Linked DNA regions of Caenorhabditis elegans. The protein of the gene in region 2 interacts with the protein of the main gene of each other region in a pairwise test. Each region holds a gene or a part of one and is shown on either strand. Other genes may lie near its edges.

What was found. Proteins that work in one complex are often made in the same cells at the same time.
Region 1: the proteins of gst-23 (region 2) and rps-8 interact in a two-hybrid assay, tested with the Caenorhabditis elegans proteins (one large-scale study listed by BioGRID).
Region 3: the proteins of gst-23 (region 2) and abu-7 interact in a two-hybrid assay, tested with the Caenorhabditis elegans proteins (one large-scale study listed by BioGRID).

Annotation. Positions count from the first base shown.
Region 1 is NC_003282.8:7,310,509-7,317,905, reverse strand, and holds rps-8 (Small ribosomal subunit protein eS8), read left to right. Parts: upstream 1-4,045; 5' UTR 4,046-4,046; coding exon 4,047-4,157; intron 4,158-4,250; coding exon 4,251-4,350; intron 4,351-4,400; coding exon 4,401-4,706; intron 4,707-4,752; coding exon 4,753-4,862; 3' UTR 4,863-4,948; downstream 4,949-7,397. Other genes in the region: F42C5.9 (PH domain-containing protein), read left to right, coding at 812-1,006, 1,461-1,684, 1,769-2,258, 2,307-2,567, 2,614-2,861, 2,911-3,058, 3,121-3,213; grl-4 (Ground-like domain-containing protein), read left to right, coding at 7,148-7,397. UniProt on the Caenorhabditis elegans protein: Component of the small ribosomal subunit. The ribosome is a large ribonucleoprotein complex responsible for the synthesis of proteins in the cell. Part of the small subunit (SSU) processome, first precursor of the small eukaryotic ribosomal subunit.
Region 2 is NC_003283.11:3,239,999-3,247,867, reverse strand, and holds gst-23 (Glutathione S-transferase), read right to left. Parts: upstream 4,585-7,869; 5' UTR 4,574-4,584; coding exon 4,439-4,573; intron 4,397-4,438; coding exon 4,309-4,396; intron 3,832-4,308; coding exon 3,428-3,831; 3' UTR 3,366-3,427; downstream 1-3,365. Other genes in the region: srj-8 (Serpentine Receptor, class J), read right to left, coding at 1-53; srj-7 (Serpentine Receptor, class J), read right to left, coding at 1,146-1,436, 1,833-1,928, 2,014-2,115, 2,164-2,280, 2,326-2,413, 2,463-2,629, 2,674-2,865; srj-11 (Serpentine Receptor, class J), read right to left, coding at 5,232-5,498, 5,553-5,741, 5,792-5,996, 6,048-6,154, 6,196-6,444; str-16 (Seven TM Receptor), read right to left, coding at 7,432-7,478, 7,520-7,697, 7,751-7,869.
Region 3 is NC_003283.11:5,160,821-5,168,969, forward strand, and holds abu-7 (Activated in Blocked Unfolded protein response), read right to left. Parts: upstream 3,963-8,149; 5' UTR 3,940-3,962; coding exon 3,715-3,939; intron 3,668-3,714; coding exon 2,576-3,667; 3' UTR 2,450-2,575; downstream 1-2,449. Other genes in the region: abu-6 (Activated in Blocked Unfolded protein response), read right to left, coding at 1-799, 848-1,072; srw-140 (G-protein coupled receptors family 1 profile domain-containing protein), read left to right, coding at 4,906-5,009, 5,283-5,877, 5,936-6,159, 6,205-6,421; srt-64 (Serpentine Receptor, class T), read right to left, coding at 7,563-7,674, 7,722-7,821, 7,932-8,049, 8,093-8,149.

The sequences.
Region 1 (7,397 bases), on a different chromosome or scaffold from region 2:
TGAAGTCAAATGTTATTGTCTTATTTTATTATACTTTCTTATTTAAAAGTTTCAAAATTTAACGTAATTTTTCTGATAAAATATTTATTTTAAGTGGTAACTTTTTATTGAAAACTTCTCTTCAAAGTTAACTTTGAACCCCAGCCTCGGGTCTTGGTGGAAGCCAAACTTTTCAACTACAGTACCCGTAAGTATTACAAAATTAGTATTCGTCCAAATAGAAAAGTTTATGATTATACTGTCGTGATTTTGAAAATTTTCACCACAACTTACTACAAAATTGTCAAACACCTATTTTAAAATTTTTCGAAAAATCCTCACAGGTACGGTAGCTGAAAACTTTCGCTCCAAGGGTTATTTTGTTTCTCCAAATTTTCTTCAAAAATCCATGTGACTTCCCGTTCAAATTTCCATTTTCACCCTCTCCTCAAATTGCGTTCCGTTGTTGTCTCCAAACATACCAAACCAACACAAAAAACCAACGACGACAAGTTTCAACAAAAAATGCAACCGGAAACTCTGCTCTCTCTCCCTAAATTTCTCAACTTCTTATTTCAAAAGAACGCCCTTTTTTACTAGTACGATTCAGTGGTTTTTTATTCGGATTTCGAAAACTGATACTTTCTTTCCGATTTTTCGTATTTTCTCCTTTTCCCGCCCTCTCCATTTTCCAATGTTTTATAGCCAGGCAAACATGTTTTATTGAATTTTCCCTATGCATGCTATTTTTTCTATTTGCTTTGATTGTATGTAGCTTCAAGTTGAAATATTATTTTTTCTACCAACTTCTCGTTTTTTCCAGCATATTTCAATGCCAGATTTGGAAATCAACGGAGTTGAAATGGAAAATGGTGTTGGAAGATCAGACAGTTTGAAAGCTGAAGAAGCAAATGCTCTGCGAGAATGGGATCCTAAGCATTTACTAAAAGCCCTCTACGAAATATCATATGAACCACGAGTTGAAACAAAAAGAAATCGATTTGTGACAATGGAAGGACATGTAGAGGTAAGCATTCGTAAATAAAGAAATTACCTTTGCTGTAGTTTATTTTGACCCGCTTTCTCAAGGAGTCTCCAAAAATTGTATGTAATACTCAGTAAATGCTCCTTTGCACGGAAATCTTTAGTAAAAGGCGAAAGATTTTCACGGTTAAATGCAGAGGAACCAGAGTTGATTGTGCACCTCTAAATTGGAACGTGATGAACTCCGTGTACGGACATCTGGCGGGTTTCGCTCACCACGTTGGGGAACGTAGTGGGCGGAGTTTTTGCTTGGAAATTTTCAGGCCTAGAAAAAACAAAAACAGTGATCACATTCCAGAAACCAAAACTCCTACGTCCAAAAGCTATTCAAAAAATATAAAATAGTTTCTATTCATAATAAAAAATAACAATTTTAATTATAATCTCAACTGATTGAGAAATTGGAAAAAACTATATTTTGAGCTATTTCATTCCAGGTCCCAGCCGACGAGGTCACAAAATCAGACGGTCTAGATAATGAAGGATGGATGAAGCAGTACATTCGAATGAAAGAAGGACGTCTTCAAATCTTTGCATCTCACTACGCAGGAGAAGCTCCAGCTCAAGAACTTGTGCTCTCTGGAGCAGATGTAGATGCCAATAAGGATGAGAGAACTTTGACTATTCATGGAGGAAGGGAACATGTTAAATACTATTGCAGGTTGGTAAATTTATGCTTAAAAGTTTCACATTTTATAAAAACCTAATTGTTTTTAATTTTTCCAATAATTTATTAAAATTTCAGAGTTCCATCAGCAGTATTCGACAAATGGCGTCAATCATTCCTATCACACTGTGCATCTTCTCTAATTGATGCCTATGTTAAACCAATTCCAAGAGCATTCCAACATTTAACTGAAAGAATTTTGATTCTTGAACTTGGTTCATGCTCAATCAGAGCCGGTGTTCTTACAACAGAACCATCACTTCCACAATCATTCTTCCCAGCCATAGCCGTCCGAACTGATGATGGAAAGATTTTCGTTGGAGAAGACGCTTATAGGCCGGAAATTAGACATAATGGTGATTTTGTTCGACCAATCTCTGCTACAGATCCATCAGTGGAAAGATATTCAATTGATAAAGATGTTCTGAAAGCAGTTATTGGAAAAGTAACAAAGGAATTGAAAGTTGAGCCATGGAAATATAAAGTTTTACTTTCAATCCCTCAAAATATCCCAACTGTTTTGATTGGAGAATTACTCCAGATTTGTCTTGAAGATATCAAATTTCAAGTGAGTTATCGCTGAGAAAACTTTTTTGTCTAAAAAATAAACTTTCAGTCGGCAGGAATCACTCGTCAGCCATCACTGATTCTGTATGCTTATGATGTTACAACTGGAGTTGTTGTCGATATTGGAGAAAGAGTTAATATTGTTCCAGTAATTGATGGATATGTCGTCGAATCGGCCATTTGTTCAATTCCATATGGATCACAGCAAATGGGAGATTCGTTAAGAGCATCATTAAGTGCTCATAACAAAGGATTATACGCTTTTCAAAGTCCTGTGGAGAAGCTTATTTTAAGATTTGCACTGGAACAGGTAAAATTTAATCGTATTAATTTTCAAAAAAATACTTGAAGTTTAGACTACCTACGTACCAGAGGATTATCAAAAAGAAGAAAAATCAGAAAATAAAGAAACTAGAATCTCATTAGATGCTTTCACACCATCACCTGGAATGCAGACCCGATTCGATATTGATAACTCCAGATTTTTATGTACGGAAGGACTATTCAAGCCAAAGAAATGGGGTCTTGACACGAAAGGTCTCCACCAATTGATCCACGAGGCAATTCTTCAGTGTCCAATTGATAGTCGTCGAACACTGTATAGGTAAGAATCGTTAGTTTTCTAAAATTTATGACCAAAATTATGCTTTCAGAAATATTTATTTGGCTGGAGGAGCATCTCTTATGCCAGGAATTGCTGAAAAACTCGAACAAGAATTATCTACAGTAGTTCCAAACACAATTCACACTCAAGTTAACATCAGTCCATGGCGGTATAACGCAGCATATCTTGGAGCCCAAGTAAGCCCACCAACTAAAAAAAAACCAACTAATAGAACAACGGTAAAATTTTAAAATTTCAGATCGTCGCATCAGCCTCCACATTTGAAGACTCCTGCATTTCTCTTCAACAGCTTCCAAAGTTCCTTGCACAGCTCCAGTCATCGTCTTTCTGAAGCTTCGACCTGAAAAATAATGATTTCGTTAATTTCTTATGATTTCACTGACCAACCTGAAAATTCCGCTTTAGAGGCTCATTTTCCTGCTTTTTCGAGAGTTTTCTTTAGACCTTCGTGTACTATTCGCTTTTGTACAATTATTTTCCTTTTGTTTTATCGATTTTATTTGTCCGAGAGCTCTTTTTTACATATTTTTGTGATACTGTTGTCGTAATGTTTTCCCCGCAGTTACTTTCGTTAAAAGTTATGTCAGACAGTTGAGTCGGCTAGCAATTTTAGCTAGACAAATTTATTGCATCATAAACATTTATTTATAAAGTTTTTTTGTTTTTTTTTCAAATCAATTGAAGAATTCTACACAAAAACAGATATGATTGGAATTTTATTTTTTTACAGCGAAATATTGACTAAGTAATTTGATAATTTCAACAAAAAATGCAGATAATTTTTGTCGAATTTCTATAAATCTTTAATGTAACAAAAAGAGCACGAAAATCATGTGAAATAAAACACTTTTTTAAAGGGACATGGCATTTCACGAGTGAAGGGTCTCGCCGCGATCTCTCATCTGCAGCAGCCGCCGCTCTCTGTTTACCACTGTGAATTTTTAGGCCCGATTTTCTTTTTCTATTTTTTCTTCAATGTTTCTGCTTTTTGTTAAATTTTCTCGAAAAAATCACTGAAAAATAGAAGAAAATCAATGTTTTAATCACTTTATTGTGTTTTGAAAAATTTAATGTTCGAATATTTTTGTTTCGAGAAGGAAACTCTTTCATTTATCGTATTATGTATTTTTAATTCATTTTTGTTAAATGTGAAACGTTTTCAGCATGGGTATCTCGCGCGACTCTTGGCATAAGCGCTACAAGACCGGAGCCACTCAACCGGTCCCTCACAAGAAGAGGAAGTTCGAGCTCGGACGTCCAGCTGCCAACACCAAGGTAAGAGCTGTTTAATTTTTATTTTATTTACCAGGGATTTGGTTGAATCAGTAAAATTAAATTTAAAAAAGATGATCGCGAAATTACTCTCAGATTGGAGCCCACCGCGTTCGTCTCGTTCGCACTCGTGGAGGAAACGAAAAGTACAGAGCTCTTCGCCTCGACTCCGGAAACTTCTCCTGGGCCTCTGAGCGTAAGTTTCGTTATTATACTTTATAAACCGTTCATATTCTGATTTTTCAGAGACTACTCGCAAGACCCGTATCGTTGATACCATGTACAACGCTACAAACAACGAGTTGGTCCGTACCAAGACTCTTGTCAAAGGAGCCATCATCAGCGTTGATGCTGCTCCATTCCGTCAGTGGTATGAGGCTCACTATGCTCTCCCACTTGCCAGAAAGAAGAACGCCAAGCTTTCCGAGGAAGACAACGCCATCCTCAACAAGAAGAGATCCCACCACACCATGAAAAAGTACACCGAGCGTCAAAAGACTGCTGCTGTTGATGCACTCCTCATCGAGCAATTCAACACTGGACGTCTTCTCGGTAAGAAAATTCAGAAATTTCTTCAAGTTTAATCATTATTTTTCAGCTCGCATCTCTTCTTCCCCAGGACAAGTCGGACAAGCCAACGGATACATCCTCGAAGGAAAGGAACTTGATTTCTACCTTCGCAAGATTCGTGCCAAGAAGGCCAAGTAAATGCCTTTTGTGGTTGTTTTCTTGTTTTTGTTACATAAAACATAAACGAATTGTTACTAGAAATTTGTTAATAGCACATTTGGAATAAGGTTACAACTGCAGGGATTTTATGCATTATTGTTGGGCGAAGGATATACAATGGTGATTCTATTATTAAAGATGTTCCTGACAGACAGCCCATGGGTCTAAAGGAATTTCAGTTCGGTCTGCAAAGGATTGCTTTTTAATAGAGATGTTCTCGGGAAGGCTGAAGTAGTAGTGATCAGAGATGGGCTGGCCAGTATGACATGAACATTTTTAATACATCGAGAAGAGTTTCGTTCTGGATTAGTATGAGCTCATAATGCACAGTTTCAGAAGCGCCTTAAGTTATAGGTACAAAAGCAGTTTGAAAAGTTCGTGGTGTTTTAAAGTCTTGTTAATTCGAATCTGGCAATGTCGAGAAGGAAACTAAACGTGGATGCCAAAATATGATTTTTAAAAGTAAAAAGCTTTTCTCATTTATATTCCGACTCATTCTGACTTCGTTGAAATAATGGAGGAAATAAAAGCAGATCAGGATAGACGTGGAAAAATGAGATTAAGATCTTACTGTACTTTTTAAAGGCGCACGCAAATTTTCAAAAAAGTTTGTTTCGTTTCAAGACCGAGGATTCTTCGTTTGTTCCATGAAAATCAAATGTTAAATTTCAAAATTCGGTTCCTAGATTTCAAAAAAAATGAAGAAAAATCAAAAGAGTTCGATTTTTGGAAAGTTATGACGTCATAACTTTCCAAAAAATCATATATGACTAAAAATTGTAATTTTTTCAACATAAAATTAACCAAAAATACGTATTGTTTTCTAGATTTTCGTTTTAGTTTTTTTTGAATCACCTCTAAAAATTATAAGATACCGTATTTCCTCTATAAGTAAGGCATGCAACACTAATTTTCGGACACCTAATTTGATGCAAAACTAATGGAGGAGCAAAACTAATTTTTGAACAGGTTTTTTCTCATGTTTTCCATTAAATTATGGCATAATATCATCAATTTCAATAACAACTTATGAACCAAAATGGACGAATTTTACGACTCATACGCAAACATTGTCCGAGTTGTACTCATATTTTGCCAATTTTGACTTATTATACCAAGTCTGTAAAAGTTTTCCTAATTTTTAGAACGATTTTGTAATGCAAATTTTGAATTCCTAAAAATAGGGAACAAATGAATGGGAGCAAAACTATTAGAGGTGCGAATCTGATAGAGGATGCAAAACTAATTTTCGATTAGTGATTTTAGATGCAAAACTAATGGAGGTGCCTAACTAATAGAGGAAATACGGTAATAAAAAGTAAAGATGCTTCCAAGGATTACTCATACCACAACCAGTTTCCAGATCTTATGTATGCATCAATTTCAATAGGAAAATGAATAAAGTAATGATGTGCGACAAAATTTACCAAAGGTGTCAGATAACCTTGAATGTGAACAATGAAAGTTCACTTGTGATTAGCATTTTCCAAATCATTTCAGATTCTCAATTTCCAGTAAATTTCAATTGTCTGAAAATTAAAAAGTTTAACTTCAACAGAAATCGTAAAAGAAAAAGAAAAAGCAATCGGATTCACCTACTCGTCTCCTATAATTAATAGGTGACGTAACACGATTACTCATCATCCAATTCAAAAAAGGAGGGAGAAGCTGTGTGAAACCAGTTCTAGAGGGTCAAATTCTCGACAGCAATGAGGTAATGGAGGCGGTGCCAAAAGATGTCAGGGTCAAAATGGCAAAAAGGTATATAAGGTATTGATGATGATCAAAAGAAAATGCCATCTTCTTTTCTTTGTTTCAATTCAAAATCTTATTGATGAGATGAGGACAGATGCCGATCACAAACCCTTTTTCATTTTATTTTTCAAACCACTTGTTTTCTGGAACCAAGTGATCTTATTACCTAGACGCGAAGGTCTCGGCACGACACATTTTTATGAAATGCAAAAGTGTGTGTGTGCGCCTTTAGAGAGTACCGTAAATTCAAACTTTCATATCAGTGGAATTTTCGTAGCTTTTATCAATATTTGGTATAATTTATGTACGCGTTTGTATTGTTGTTTTCGAATTACAAAATTAAAACACACCTTTTTTTCAGAAAACTTCGCAGAAAATTTGAAATTACAGCATCCGAGACCGGGTACTATAATTTCGGCGCAAAGCTTCGCGTCTGGGTAATATTTAAATCCAAAATCCCTCAATTCGGAAAATTTTCTTTTTTTTAATCAAAAGTTTTTATTTTCCAGATGCTTCTGCCCATTTCAATTCTCTTTTCAATCATCCCTATAGCATCTTCAACATTCGGAGGATGTTGTTCAATGGGACCACCACCATGTCCTCCACCTCCACCACCAATGTGTGCACCTCCACCTCTTCCGTGCCCTCCACCTCCAATCTGCCCACCTCAATTCTGTCCTCCACCACCGATGTGTCCTCCACCACCACCTCCACCACCACCGCCGATGTGCCCACCGCCACCACCACCGATGCCATCAT
Region 2 (7,869 bases):
AACACCCCGAAAATACGGGGAAAATTTTGATGGTACCAGCTGATGTAAATCATTTTTTCTTTCGAAAGTGTCTGATAAAGAGAATATGAGTAATCCTGCAAAAGATAAGGGGTTTTATAATAATAAATGAAGAATTAGGATTTAAGGTATGAATAATCCGGCGGCGACAAGTGTTCCTATTATTTCATGAAATAAGCTTCAACGTCGTCATTTTTTATATTGTGTTTTGTAAAAAGGTTCAAGATGGCTAACCGACTAAAGCTGGCAAAATAAATACGTAGATCAGTCAGTTTCAAACTTTACAGGTGCAAAATATGGTATACTCACGAGGAAAAACTATAAAAATTTGGAGTTTTTTTAAAGTGTTTTTTTTACAGTCAAGGATACTCAGTTTTTCCCAATTCTAACTGTGAATGTCGCCCAGAAAACTTCATCTGTTCATTTCATTTAAACATTCGGCGCTATAGCGACAATATTCTAGATATCTTTTTTAAAATGCTTTAAAGTTTTTGTTTTTTATCTCTACTATAAACTAATAATGCATAATTTTAATTGAATTCCCACAAGTACTTCTTCACCTTTAACTACAATTTGGCTGGCCAAACTCAGCACTAAAATTTCAGCCAAACTTTGGAAGCAAATTCGTATAGTAATATTGTATTTTAAGATCCGTAAAAACTAAAAATGATCCTAGAAAATTTTAAAAATTTTCAAGTTTTTTTTTGGCATTTCAAAAATCCGCTCTCAAAAAAAATAAGAAGTTATTAAATTTGATGAAGAACCAGTTGAAAATAAAAAAAAACAGACTAACTGGTTTAACTGACAAAACATGTTACTGGTACCTCTATTTAAACAAACCGTTCAGAAATTAGATCGGTCTAAAACCAGTAAAATTGGAGCAGCTGAAATCACAAACCGGATGCGTAACCTACAAAACCAGGAACACCGTGAAATGAACTGAACTGATCGTTCACTAATACCTCAATAATCTCGTTAATTTGATCAAGACAGTTGCCATCTTGAACTAATAACAGTTGATTTGAATTCCGAACTTTATATCTTCCAGGAAAATTCATAGAAATCATACACGTTTACTGGGAGAATAACAAAATATTGTATTGCAGTACTACAAGATCAGAATGAACTCAAAATGCAGTGCCAGCTATGGTTGTTATCCGGCGAACCATACTGACAACGTTGCTGATAGGCGGATTGATATTTCCTGAAGTGTCCGGCTCAATTGAAATTGGACGTCTGAGTAGTGTGTTTCTGTAGTTCGGAACCAAAATTATCACAGCTAGCGGGTCAATGCATGGGAAGGCAGCTAGTGCAATTGTGGAGACGTTTGTGTTCCACCAACCAATGTCAATTCCGAAAATTGGTGCGTACCAGGAGATGACAGTTGGTAAGAAGCTTGCGACAATTGGGATGCAGGTCTGAAATATAGAAGAAATGAATAAGTAATTTGAATATCCCATTGTTGATCTATTTACCTGAAGCTTTCATTTACTTTAGTTTTTTATGTTTCAACCTTTGTTTAGACTATGCTATCACAAAAATCAATTTAAGAATTTTTGGGGTCACCAAAGTATTAGAAGAAATATTGGTTTGTTTCTGTTTTTCAAAACTCAACTTATACATGTAAAAATAGGGGTAAATCCCTTGACAAGACAAAGACGATAGTAACCTAATCACTCAAAGGAGATTGATCAGTCTGTGTTTAGAGCACATTATATGTTTTATCAGGTTTGTTTTTCGTTTTTTTAAATTTTGGTCTGATCAATAATATAACCGAATTAAGCACAGAAACATGTAAATCTTACAAGAATTACCTGTACAACCAAAGTCACAAAAAGCTGCCTCTGAAGTCGTAAACTAGTTGCACTCAACGTTCGATTAATAGTCATGCACCGAATTTTGTGAATTATCTGAAATACTTTTTTTACTTTGGGCTTTACTTATGCTTAATCTCAGGCTTAAGCTTATGCTGAGGCTTAGACTTCGCAAACTTACTTTATACCCAAGAACAAAATAAACCGCCATTGAGTACCATGAAATAATAGTAAGAAGAATGATTCCAAGCCAGCTGCGAAATTGGATACCTGGACGGACACCCTAAAAAGGAAATTTAAATTTCTGAGTTTAATCTAGTTTTAGACATACCCAATAGAGAGCTGCCAACATTGGAACTCCATTGGACTCTTCTCCGTACTGATCTATGAACGACGAGCGCACTATTTTCCTAACTTCGTCGTCGGCCGCAAGGCAATTCTGGCAGATCTGAAGCAATTACATTTAATTATTTTATTTTCTGGAAGCTTTCACCATAGTCCAAGAGCCAGCGTGAAACAACATGAGCAATGTTAAAAATAGTATACCAATCGGCCGGAAGAACAGATGAAGCTTGTGCGGGCTGAAATAGCCACTGTTCAAATATTTTCAGGCCTAAATAGTTGACTCACTAAAACAAGGCCATGTACCGATAGACAAAATGGATGATCAATAAGGCATAACTGATGGAAATGAACCCACACCGATTCGACATTGCGTGCTGACCAAGTTCTGGATATTCAAAGAACAAGCCGTCTGATATAAAAACCACAAATCCATGCTTGTTGCCTTGTACACCCTAGACAAATTCATTAAAATATATTCACACCTACGGTAAATTACCAATGGAGTTAAAATCTCGGATATTGAATACAGAATGTCAAAGACCGAGAACATTATCAAAAGATTCTTGTAGCTCCCCACTTGAGTTTTAGTTTTGGTCACTACCAAATATATGAATATTGGGTTCACCAGGAAGCTTAGTGCTCCCAAAATTTTGGGAACATTTTGATGGTACCAGTTCATATATATCATAGTTGTATTGAAAAATAATGGGATCTTCTCGATGAAGAGATGTAGAAGTGTTTTCCCCTCTTGTTTTTCTTATAAATGCCGAGTTCTCGTAAAATAGTATACTCCTTTGGGGTTGGGGCACTATGTGTTTTGTGACTTGAATATTTGTCTGCTATGGTAACTCCGTTTTTGCAAAGGAACACACTGAAAAGGGTCGAAAAAGTCCTCCATGTGTGATAGCGTCATTGAGCAGACTTGAGGTGGGTGTTATCTGTATTCTCCAGGGTCTGATTCATAAACAGCACCTGTATTAATTTTCAAACAACGTTTTACTCCTACTACATTGGTTTTTCGTGTCAGGACCCAATGTTTTATATGCAGTAGGTTATCGTGAAACCTATAGACTTTGATAAGTTAATTCAAAAAACTTTAAAAAAATTTAATTTTTAAGTACTCGAAATTTTGATAGCTCATTTTTTGAAAATGGTTTCACAGTTGAGTTTTGCTTTTTGAAACAATAGTTATTTGAAACAAGTTTTATTAGTATTGCAAAATTAATTTAACACAAAAAAATCCGAAAGTTTTATTGTTTCCCATTTCCACTGACGAATGGATTTAGTTCGGCCCGTTTATTCAAATACAGTCTCATATTGGGCCGCTCTGCAAATCGTCCATGAAATCTTTTCAGTGCTGGGGTGCCATTTAGAGCAGTTGGTGTGAGGATGAGGTGAATATCGAGAAGCTCGAATAGAGCATAATCTGCATAGCTCAGCTTGTCCCCGGACACAAAGTTTTCGCCGTTGTTAAATGTGCAGAACAACTTCTCAATTCGTAGTAGCTCCCCGGGAAGAGTTTCAGTTATGTATGCTTCTTTGCCATCTTCGTAGTCTGTCTTGATCATTGTGAAATATTTGGTGCGTAGATCGCGGAGCCCTTCGGAGAACATATCGATGAATGAGGTCTCTGATTCAGTGGAGCCATTGAGTCCTGAGAAATTTTAGATGTTGTTTTTTTTTCTTTTTGTATTGAATTTTAAATAAGATTTGCAAAATGTTAACTCAACAGCCGGGAAAACAATTGTTAATATATTTTTCGTTATTTTCTCCAACTGATATTTTGAGATCAAAAAAAAATTGTAATCAAAAACGCATTAAGTCAGCCTAGAAGAGCTAACTATAAAGCCAAAAGTTTAAAACAATTTATTGACTAATTTGACGACGTTTAGAATTGCTCCAAAAGACTACTTTTAGATAATTTTTATACGATTTCGGATGTATACATTCTGCAAGTTTTTTTGAAAATTTTTATTTTGAGAAAATCAAAAAAATTTTCACTCAAAAAAAACGATTTTTTCAAAACAAAACATTTATCAAAACAATTAATAAGCAATTTGACAGGCTTTTTCTTTTTCATCAATTCGAATGAATTTTTTATTTCAAAACTGTAAATTTTCTGATTGCTCACCATAAATCCGTCCAAGATGACGAAGAATCGCTGCTGACTGGACAATCGTTTCAGTTCCGATATGAAGACACGGCAATTGAGCGAAAATCTGGAAAATTCTACTTTTATAGTTTCAAAAATTATGAATCACCATGGTTGACTTCATTTCGGCCCACTCTTCTCGGCTGATACGGTTATCTTCAAATGGGATTTCCTGGTCATTGAGCAAGAGCCGAATGGGCTCCGCGAGCCCACGAATGTCAAAGTATGTGAGCTTGAGTGTCATCGAAGTGGTCTATAAATTAGAAAAACCAAATTAGAAAAACGTAAATTTTATGATTCCGGTAAATTTGAAAAAATAAAACTTTTGAGAATTTGGGAAAACATAAATGCAAAAATATTATAATAGAGGGCAACTATACGAATTCATACATGTGTTGTTGTATTTTCGGCAATAAAAACCGAAAATATAATCGGGTTAGGGGTGTGACGCGATTGTGAACTGTAAATTAGTAAGGTTTATGTGTTGATTTTAAATTTCTATACGGTTTTTTCCTGTAATTGATCAAAAATAATCCCATCGACAAGAATTCTCCAAACTTGACAAAATAATTTTCTAGAACTATCATCCCAACTCAAACTTAACGACATTGTTATAAAAGTGCTAAGTTGTTCAAAAAGTTACAGTACTAAATTGAGAATAATTTGTTTTTAAAAACCAAAAAAAAACGAAGAAAGTGTAAGCTGTCTGCAAACTTGGTAAGAAAAGAGGGACACGTTGAAAATGTCCGCAGGCTATTGAAAAAATCTATAAAGCAAACATGTATTTCGAGAAATGCAAATAAAACTCTTTCACATTGATTAAAAAAGAACGTTGCGAAAAATATTTATGGAAAAAAATAAGAAATTTTATAACAACTTGGACAACACTTTTCCTCAAACTTTCAATAAACTTGAGCTGAATTATCCACGTTGGGTCGGACAGTCGATGTTCCAGAATAAAAGTATTTGATTGGCATTTTCACAGTGCGAAAAAGCTTGTTCCGGTAGTTGGGTAGGAGGAAAATGATAGCAAGTGGATCTAGAACAGGGAACGCTGACAGTGCAATGACGCCCAAATAATTGTTCCACATTCCGAGATCCAATCCGATTACAGGACCGTACCAGGCCATCATGCAAGGGGAGAAGCTGATGCAGATCGGGATGAAAGTCTGAAAATGTTTAGTTAAACAATTTTTTTCTGAACTCTTTAAAAACATGTATACCTGAACTGCAAGGGCTTTGAATAACTGTCTATGCAATTTCTGAGTCGTTGCAGAAACCCCTGGATTATCCGCCAGCTTTTTCATAATCTTCCATCCAAGAATAACGTATAGAGAAATTGCATATATCGAAATTCCAGTCAGCAGCAGAATTCCAATCCAGCTTCTTCTTTTGATCTCGGGACTTGCATCCTAAAATTTTAAGGGGTTAGTGTTGGTTCTTTGCTCTTTTCGAGCCTCACGAAAAACAATGCCATTAGCATGGATAAATCATGTGAATCCACATGGTAATCTTTTTGAAAAGCGTCATAGATGTAGTCGAACACTTCTTGATCTCCATAGAGACACATCTCGCAGACAGAACTCCAAGCTATTCCGTGAAAAACAAAAAATACAAAGAGACCAAATAGCCCGGACGGCCGGAGAAGTCGATCGATTATTCGGGTGCTATAATTTTTAAATTTTCGGATTTACGTGAAAAATAAAAATAAAACTCACTTAAATAGCACAAGATACCGATAGATAAAGTGAATGACAAGGATTCCATATGAAAGAGAAATACACCCACATCGAATTGAGACAGCTAGTTGGCCAAGCTTCCCAGTCTGAAGTTCAATCATTTGGTGTGTAGAGCTTTCAAACTCACCCCAAAAAATGGTCCGTCAGCTAGGTAAATCACAAAAGCTGCCCCAGTACCATGAATTGCTACGGGAACGATTAGCTCTACAGTTGAGTAAGCCATATCAAAAATTGCAAACCCTATCAAAAGATATCGATACTTCCCGATCGAAGCCTTCTTTTCGGTGGCTATCAAGCAAATGAAAATTGGATTACACACGAATGACAAAATTCCAAACAATTTTGGAAGGTAATGGTGAGACCAGTGGATATACATAGTCCGTCTGAATTTCTTTCTGAAATTGTGAATATTCAGATTGTGTTAATAATTTATAAAGCAGATTGTATCTGAATCAGAAAAAGTGTGAAGGAATACTAATTGTATTTGTTTTCGAGCCCTACGCAGATATGCAATAGGATTAACAATCATTTAGGTAATGTGCTCGGGACTTAGATTGGTTCAAAAAGTCTAAATGAGTAATAATGTAGGATTGGTAAAACGCTTGGAAGACCAGAATCAAGATGAAAATACAAAAAAGCCTAATGAGTCAACCTGCTGATGTGTTTGTCGTGAGAGCAAAAGTATCGTACTTATTTAACTTTTTAAAAGTTTCCCCAATATGGTTACTTTTTTTTACAATACTCGGGCTTCAAAATTTTAATTCAAACAAGTTTGGAATTTTCGATAGGCCGACAGGCAAACTAGTAGGCAGGCTCAGGTACACATAGACCTGCTTGCCGCCAAATTGTCTGAAAATTTGAAATTATTTCTGGGCTCACCAGCGCCCGGCACTTCATGGGTTCAGCTAGGCCCGACATTACTTGGGTTAGGCAATACCCGACATTTTCTAGGTTCCGCAGCACCCGACATCTTCTGGGTTTTGTATTGCTAACTTGTTTATGGAATTTTTTGCAGACGGCCGGAGACAGGCATGAGTTTCTTCAAAGGTAGGCCTACCAATACTGGCGCAGACATCGATGTACGAACCTCAAACTTTCCTTTTCTGCCAAAACGCTGTGCTGAGAAATCATTCTTGTGGGACGTCATTAGAACAAAATTTTTCAAACAGCAGTTCGGAAAACATTCTGATTTTCTTACAAATAAGTTTATTAAAAACTACAAGTAAATTTTAGAAGCGTGAAATCTTTCGGCACAAAATAGTTCAGAAATCTCTGTTTTACTTTTTTCTGACTACATCTACAAATGATTCAGAGCACATTCCACATCACGTAACAAAACTGCAATCTTTTGTTTTTGAACGAATTATTGCTGTGACGACGCTCCGGATGGTTTGTAGATTTGGAACGCAGCTGAAAATATTTTCTAGACAAATTTTTCCATTTTCACTCACTTTTGAACGCTCGCCGATAGTCTGTGACGACGTACATCAGGATGAATGCATCAAGCGCTGGATACAATGTGAATCCAGACAAGAAGACTCCTGTGGGAACACTGAGCTCCAAATCGAGCCACGGAAGGTAGATCACAAAAACGATGGGAGAGAACAGGACAATTGTTGGCGTGGTTATCTGATTTAATAGTTTAAATACCTAGATTTCTTATAATTTTCTAATAAAGTTACCTGTAACATGAGAGTCTTGAATATTTGTCGATGAAGTCTTCTCATCTGTTTTGACAGCATGCTCAGTTTCTCCTCCATCTCGTTATACAGCTGATATCCACAGAATATCATAATTCCGT
Region 3 (8,149 bases), 1.9 Mb from region 2:
CAGTTTGGCACTGGGCAGCTGGCTGTTGTTGTTGAACACATTGCTGTTGGCAGGACTGTTCGCATTGTGGAGCACATTGGGATGATTGAGCAACAGAAGTCTGGAGAACAATCTGGATGACTTGAGCTGGAGCTTCAGTGGTGGTGTCGTATTGTTGGTACATTGGTTGAGTCTGCTGGGAAGTGCAGGAGTTGTCACAGGCTGGTTGGCAAGCTGGAGCGCAGTTAGCGTTCTGGCTGGTGTTGGTATTGTATGGGTTGTACATTTGGGTGTTGGTGTTCTGGTTCATGTTCTGGTTGTAGACTTGTTGGGTAGCCTGAGCAGTTTGTTGGCAGATATCAGAGCATTGAGTGTTGCAAGCTGGCTCGCACTGGTTGGACTGTTGCTGTTGCTGGACACATGAAGATTGGCATTGTTGCTGGCACTGTGGTTGGCATTGAGCTTGAGCTTGTTGGATCTCGAGTTGGATTTGGATCACTTGTGGTGCCTGGGTGGTAGTGGATGGGGAATCACAGGCAACATTGCATTGTTGTTGGCATTGTGGCTGACATTGAGCTGCTGGTTGTTGTTGTTGAACACAGGTAGATTGACATTGCTGTTGGCATACTGGTTGGCACTGTTGGTATTGGACAACTGGAGCTTGGGTGGTGGTAGTAGTGGTTGGTGGGTTGTACATTGGAGTGCATTGAGCCTGGCACTGTTGCTGACATTGTGGCTGGCACTGGGACACGGATGGAGAAGCCTGGCATTGCTGTTGGCAGCTCTGTTGGCAAGCTGGGGCGCATTGAGTAGATTGAACCTAAAATCATTAATTTAGTAGTGTTTGAAATAAATGCATAAAAGGTACCTGAACTTGTTGAGTTTGTTGTGGCTGAGCGCATGAGCAGGATGGGGATTGTTGTTGAACTGGAGCAGATTGGCACGAGCATGACTGAGTCTGTTGAACTTGTTGGCACGAGCATTGGCTCTGCTGTGGCTGAGCACATCCACACTGTCTCTTTTCACGGATCGCACTTCCAGATACCGCAAGGGCACATGCAAGGAAGGCAATGGCAAGTGAAGTAAAGCGCATTTTAGTAATGATTCGAACCGAGAAAATCGGATGATAATGAAGCTCTGTTCTTCTCTTTTATACTACTTTCCCATACCCCCACCCTCTGTACCAGACCTGAAACTTCTTGATTTCCGCTCTTCCGTTCACTTTTCGTCTATGTGTCTCTCATTCTCTTTCCGGCCAAACTGTTTGCCTTATAAAAAAGTGTTCGTGTAAAAAAAGGTGCGGTGAGCATTAGAATAAACTCTCTAATCAAACAAACGTGTGTCGAGGAAAAAGGTGAAAACTGGTATGTTGCAAATTGGAAACTTTAATTTTGGAATGTGATGTTCCTTGATCTACATTATGTTACGGAATCGTTTATCTGAAGTGAATTTTTAACGCTGTTTTGTTTTCTTAAAGTTTCGGAAATATTTTATTTTAGGTTTTATTCAGCTTGCGGCCTTCCTTCAAATCTATACTGCTATGGAAATTTTGAAATTATTGTATCTTTTTTTATTCTATCGGTGGCGAACTATACCTCTTTTTATTTAAAATTTACAAATGACTGGTTATGAAGTTGAGACAAGTGAGCGTTTAGTTTCTAACTGACAACTTGTTATATCGTGCTGCAATTTGACAGCTTGGGAAGAATGTAGACAACAAATGTGTTATTTGCCAAATTTGAGAAAATACGTGTTCTAGAAAAATAATTTTCGATTTGAAAAATACTTAAATTATTTTGAAATTTTAGTTTCTCATTTTAATTTGGTTGAACATAATTTGTTATCCTCTCTTGTTCTTATTTGTATGCAATTTCTGAAATTTGAAATTTGGAAAGTTTAAACGTAATGCAACTTTAATAAATACGCTATCAAATTATTTCCCGGAAGATTAATATGTTTATCAGGTTGATAGGGCGTTCGATGAATATGACACAAAAAATGTTTAGTTGTATCTGCTAGAAACTGTTTCAGAAGATATTTGTCAGTCTCATTATTTGTTAAACTCGAAATTTCTCTGATTACTGTAGAACCTTTCAACAGTAAACTCGTATAAGCTTGTATGAACGAATTAAACTCGTTTTAAAAATAGTATCGTGAAAGTGTTCACCATATCTCTCCAGCTGATCGGCGTAACTTTTTGATCTATTCGTAATATTTGTTTGCCCCGTCGGCAATTGTGCAAAGATCATTTTCCCACCCGAAAAGAGGCTCTTCACGCTTACGAGCTGTTTCTGCGCCCACTCCAACTGATCAAAACTAGAGAACAATAGATTAATCATCACGTTTTCTGATTTCTGTTTATTCGATTACGTGTAAAGTATGTATATCATTAATTTGAAGAACAAAACATTCGAATTAGATTGGTACAGGTCTATCAACATTTTTTTGTCTATTATTGTATACTGTAGAATAATTGAAAATGATTTATTTATCATATAGTCAAAGAAAAAATGGTGTTCGAAATATACAAAAAAGATTTTGAGCAACAATGGACTATTGATACCCATAAATCTTCGATCGATCGATTCGGTCTTTCTTACTTTCTGCGGCAGCATTGTCCATTTCCGCATGGAGAGTAGTTAGCTTGGCAGGAGCAGGAGCTCTGTTGTGGGCTCTGTTGGCAGGCAGTAGTTGCTGGTTGAGCAGTTTGGCAGGAGTTAGAGCATGATGATTGGCAGGCAGTTTGGCACTGAGCAGCTGGCTGTTGTTGCTGAACACATTGCTGTTGGCAGGACTGTTCGCATTGTGGAGCACATTGGGATGATTGAGCAACAGAAGTCTGGAGAACAATCTGGATGACTTGAGCTGGAGCTTCAGTGGTGGTGTCGTATGGTTGGTACATTGGTTGAGTCTGCTGGGATGTGCAGGAGTTGTCACAAGCTGGTTGGCAAGCTGGAGCGCAGTTGGCAGATCCTTGGTTGTTGTATGGATCGTACATTGGAGCGGCAGTGGTTTGCTGGACTTGGTAAGTTGGCTGGGCTTGTTGGTACACTGGCTGGGCCTGTTGGGATGTGCAGGAGTTGTCGCAGGCTGGTTGGCAAGCTGGAGCGCAGTTAGCGTTCTGGTTGGTGTTGGTATTGTATGGGTTGTACATTTGGGTGTTGGTGTTCTGGTTCATGTTCTGGTTGTAGACTTGTTGGGTAGCCTGAGCAGTTTGTTGGCAGATATCAGAACATTGAGTGTTGCAGGCTGGCTCACATTGGGTCGATGGCTGTTGTTGCTGGACACATGAGGACTGGCATTGTTGCTGGCACTGTGGTTGGCATTGAGCTTGAGCTTGTTGGATCTCAAGTTGAATTTGAATCACTTGTGGGGCCTGGGTGGTGGTGGATGGGGAATCACAGGCAACATTGCATTGTTGTTGGCATTGTGGCTGACATTGAGCTGCTGGTTGTTGTTGTTGAACACAGGTAGATTGACATTGCTGTTGGCATACTGGTTGGCACTGTTGGTATTGGACAACTGGAGCTTGGGTGGTGGTAGTAGTGGTTGGTGGGTTGTACATTGGAGTGCATTGAGCCTGGCACTGTTGCTGACATTGTGGCTGGCACTGGGACACTGATGGAGAAGCCTGGCATTGCTGTTGGCAGCTCTGTTGGCAAGCTGGGGCGCATTGAGTAGATTGAACCTAAAATTTTTGATTTAATGGTTTGCGAATATGTTAATGAACTGTACCTGAACTTGTTGAGTTTGTTGTGGCTGAGCGCATGAGCAGGATGGGGATTGTTGTTGAACTGGAGCAGATTGGCACGAGCATGACTGAGTCTGTTGAACTTGTTGGCACGAGCATTGGCTCTGCTGTGGCTGAGCACATCCACACTGTCTCTTTTCACGGATTACACTTCCAGATACCACAAGGGCACATGCAAGGAAGGCAATGGCAAGTGAAGTAAAGCGCATTTTAGTAATGATTCGAACAGAGGAAATCGGATGGTTAAACTATCTTGCAGACTCACTTTTATATACTGATTTCTAACTCTTTTTCATTTTCCGCCCTCTTTCCGCCGAGCAAACATTCCAAAGCGTTGGTAAAAAACTTCCGTTCAACTGGTGCATGTGCATCGAAACTTTTAAAACACTTGAGTAAACGGAAAATCGTCTGGCATTCGTTTGGAATCTGCCTAGTTTGCGTTAATAATGGCCTCAATACGCGCAAAAGAATTGTGATTCAAATATTAATAACCTGCACAATTTTAGTCGTGATTATTGTGCTTTGAAGTATGCACTGTTCGTCTGTGGGTATATTTTTTAAAGGTAGAGTAGCGCCAGCGAGAAAACTAGAGCACATGTTATTGTAAGGTTACTAGAAGGAAGTGTTTTTTTTTGAAAAAGTATAGACATTGACGTCTCTCAATGTTTTCTTTAATATTAATTAAAATTGTTTTTCATTTTGAAAGTTTTAAAATCAAATTTCTACGTGGCAAAGCGCGTACTCCGATTACCGTATATTTCTGGAAAAAATTCTGAAAATGGTTGTGACAAAAATATACTATTGTAAAATTTAATGGCACACAGTTATCAAATGTATGACAATAACATCAAATAAAATACGCAATAGGATTCAAATATGTGAAAACAAAAAAATCATAACCAAAAACCAACAGCTAATTAGCACTGGTATTTTGCTAATTAGCAATACTCAGCGTAGCTATGTATGACTCAATCTTGTCTCAGTTATTCTGACTGATGTTCGAAAAAAAAGCGACTATTTACTTGTCATATTTCAATTTATTCAATCAAGTGGTCTTACATTTTCAAATTAATATAATTTGTTTGAACCACCTGGCATCGACAACATTTTGAATGAGTTCATATATGAAATGTCATATATGAACATGTCATATATGAAATGTTCAGTCTAAGGCCATGGCTCAACAAGACATGTCGTTTTGTAGTCAAATTGAGGTTTTTTATCCAAATATTCAAACATCAACGGCCCTGTTTCTATGTCGGATTGCTGATGGATTGGGGTTTGTTTTATTCGTTTTTAATATTCATTTGTGTTTTGGAATGTGCCGAAATTACCAAATTTCAAAGAGAAAATTATCATAAAATTTTAACGTTTCGATCGCTGTACAGTTTGGTATATTGAGACTATTTTCTGTCTTTTTCAAAAAAAAACTCACAGATACGATTCCGCCTTTGATTGGTTCAAGATAAAGTTGTAGAGACAAACGTTTTTTTTTTTTTGGAATAACCGGAAAACCCAAAAAAAGGGTGAAATTTAAAAAGATTTATTTCAGAGCTTATTACAACACAGTATTCGAAAATGAATCTCGAGTAGCAGCTGTGAGCTTTTCAATAAACCTATTCCATTTTATAATTCTCACCAGAAAACCGATGATAAACTCATCTGTCAACATCATTATGGCTGCAATTGCATTTTTCGATATTTGCACTTTATTATATGAAATGCAACTAATTGTTCAATCCATTATTTTTCTATACACCCATTGTTTCCAATCAGGCTCATATGCATGGGTTCTTTTTAACTTAGTGCTGGAAGCTCTGAGAGATTATTCACGACGTTGTTCCACTTGGCTCTGCTTATCAATAGCTTTACTTAGAATTCTTGTCATGAAAAATCCTCTTAATCAAAAGTATATGAGGCTGGTTAACCCTATTGGAGCGTTTTATGCAATATCTATAATGGTTTTAGTTAACGTTCCTATCACTGTGTTTAATTTGATGAAATATACAATTAAGGGAATCATACGAAAAAGCTTATGCTTTCCAAATGGAAGAGTAACATATTATATGGATTTTGTCGAAGCGTTTACAAATAATGATGGGGCTCTTCTTAAAGTCGCTACGACAAGCAATGCAATTATGACGAATGTACTAATTTTCTTTTCTTTCTCGAGTTTTTTAAAAGATTACAAATTTTAATTTTCAGATTATTCCATGCTTTGTATATCCTATTTTCACACTTTTTCTTGTGTCAGAACTCAAAAAAGTGAATAAAAATAGACAAAGCCTATCATCTACGAAGAACTCGACCGAATCACAGAAGACAACTCGTTTAGTTCTACTCCTCACGGCAATGTTTTTCATTGCCGAGTTTCCACTTGGCGTGAGCACGTTTCTGACTTATTTGTTTTATGACATTCAAGGAATATTGTAAGTTAAGTCGAAAATTACTATTTTGGTAGTATATCATTTCAGTGTAATTATACGTTTCTGTGAGTTTTTGTTCAGCGTGATTCTCTATGCGAATTTTTCAAGTCATTTTATCATTTGTTTGTTAATGTCCTCTCAATATAGAGAATGCGCTATGAAATTTATTTTTTGTGGATTTTCTCCCAAAAAAGCTTTGACCAGACTGACGACAACTCAGAATAACTCCCGGAGATGGGCTACGGCTACAACAAAACTATCATAATGTATTGGACCGACTGTTCAATAACCCATAAATAAAAAAATCGTAGAAAATTTCTGAAACAATTGTGAAAGTGCACTTACTACCAAATTATTTCAGCGTCTCTGCAAATGTCTATATATTTTATTTTATTCGGCAAAATTGCCGTGCGTAACAAACTTTGAAAATGTGATATTTTTGCTGTGTTTGAAGTTCCAGGTGGTGTGTCTGCTTAAACATAAAAATAACATCAAAAAATTTGTGTTCTTTCACTACATTTTTGGGGACAAAATCAATACTTTTGGTCAAAATTGCATTGTCAAATTTTGGTGTGCGCGGCAAATTTCGAAATTTGCCGAGCTCGGCAAGTTCGGCAAGTTCGGCAAATCGACTTTATCATTTGTTTGTTAATGTCTTCTCAGTATAGAGAATGCGTTATGAATTTGGTTCTTTGTGGATGTTCTCCCAAAAAAACTTTGCCCAGACTGGCTTTAATGCAGAACGACTCTCAAAAATGGGCGACTACAACAAGACTAACGTGATTTGATGGAACGATCCGACTTTTGAATAACCCAAATGTGTAATAAAATTTCTTAAAAAATCCAAGAGGTACGAATATGTATATTTCATGTTTTGTATTCTCTGTCGTCTCTCGAATTTTATTTTTGTGTATAAATGAAATAAAAAAGAGACCAATAGGTTTAGCGCGTGCGAACGACTGGTTTTTTGATGATCAGTCAGAATAAACAAAACAATACCAATTTCAACGGCTAGAAAAATAATTAGGTAAGCGCCACCCTGAAAAAGATCAGAAAAAAACTAGAAAAAGTTTTTCAAGTGTCCAAAGAAAAAACAAAAAATACAAATTCGTTTGGTCTATTTAGCTTGATGTCGAATGGGTTGTAACTCGTTATAAAAACTGACAATGGCATGAAAATGTGTTCACCCACTTCAGTTAACTTTTTATTAATTACGATGTAAATCAAATCAAAAATCAGGATTAATCAATTGAATTTTTTTGCTAACTCAAAGCTTCTTTCTCTTTATTTAAAAAAAAACAGTGTTCTTTTAGATATATAAATATTCATATTAGGTAGCATTTAGTGCACTTGATCAGTTACATTTTTTTCGTCAAGAAACAATATACATATGATATATGTGTCATTCATTTTTCCACGGGCATTGTTGAACTAACGTGCGACAATGGAACAAGTTTCGACGTTTGTCTAGACCGATTTTTTGAGCAGAATGGTCTGAGAATCTGATTCCGAACACCTCTGAAAATGATTTTATGTGATGCAACCGGAAACTTTGATTGGGTTACTTGTTTGTAGAGACAAGAAGGATGAAGTTCAGATGGGAAAATAAAATCCAGACACAGTTAAGTGATGCCAGAGTGTAGTTGGTCATTTTGAACCAGGATTCTGAAATATGATTTAATTATTTTGATTTTGATTTTTATTTTTCCAATTTCCCACAAGCTTTCTGCTTTTAATAGAAAGACTAAAGATCCTTTTTGGCCATTTTCACACACCTGCATTGTGCCAAAATGTGATCAGTAGAGCCATGTACGTCGTGAGAATGGTCGCCTGAACAAGGATTCCTACTTCCGTACGAAAGGATGACGATGAGGATCGAGAGATTCTACGCTTCTGAAACTTCTTTTGAAATTCAGAAAATTATGGTTGAACTCACTTTGTAAATACTATAAATGATGAGAATGTACGAAATGAAGCTCAGTGCAAGCGTTGG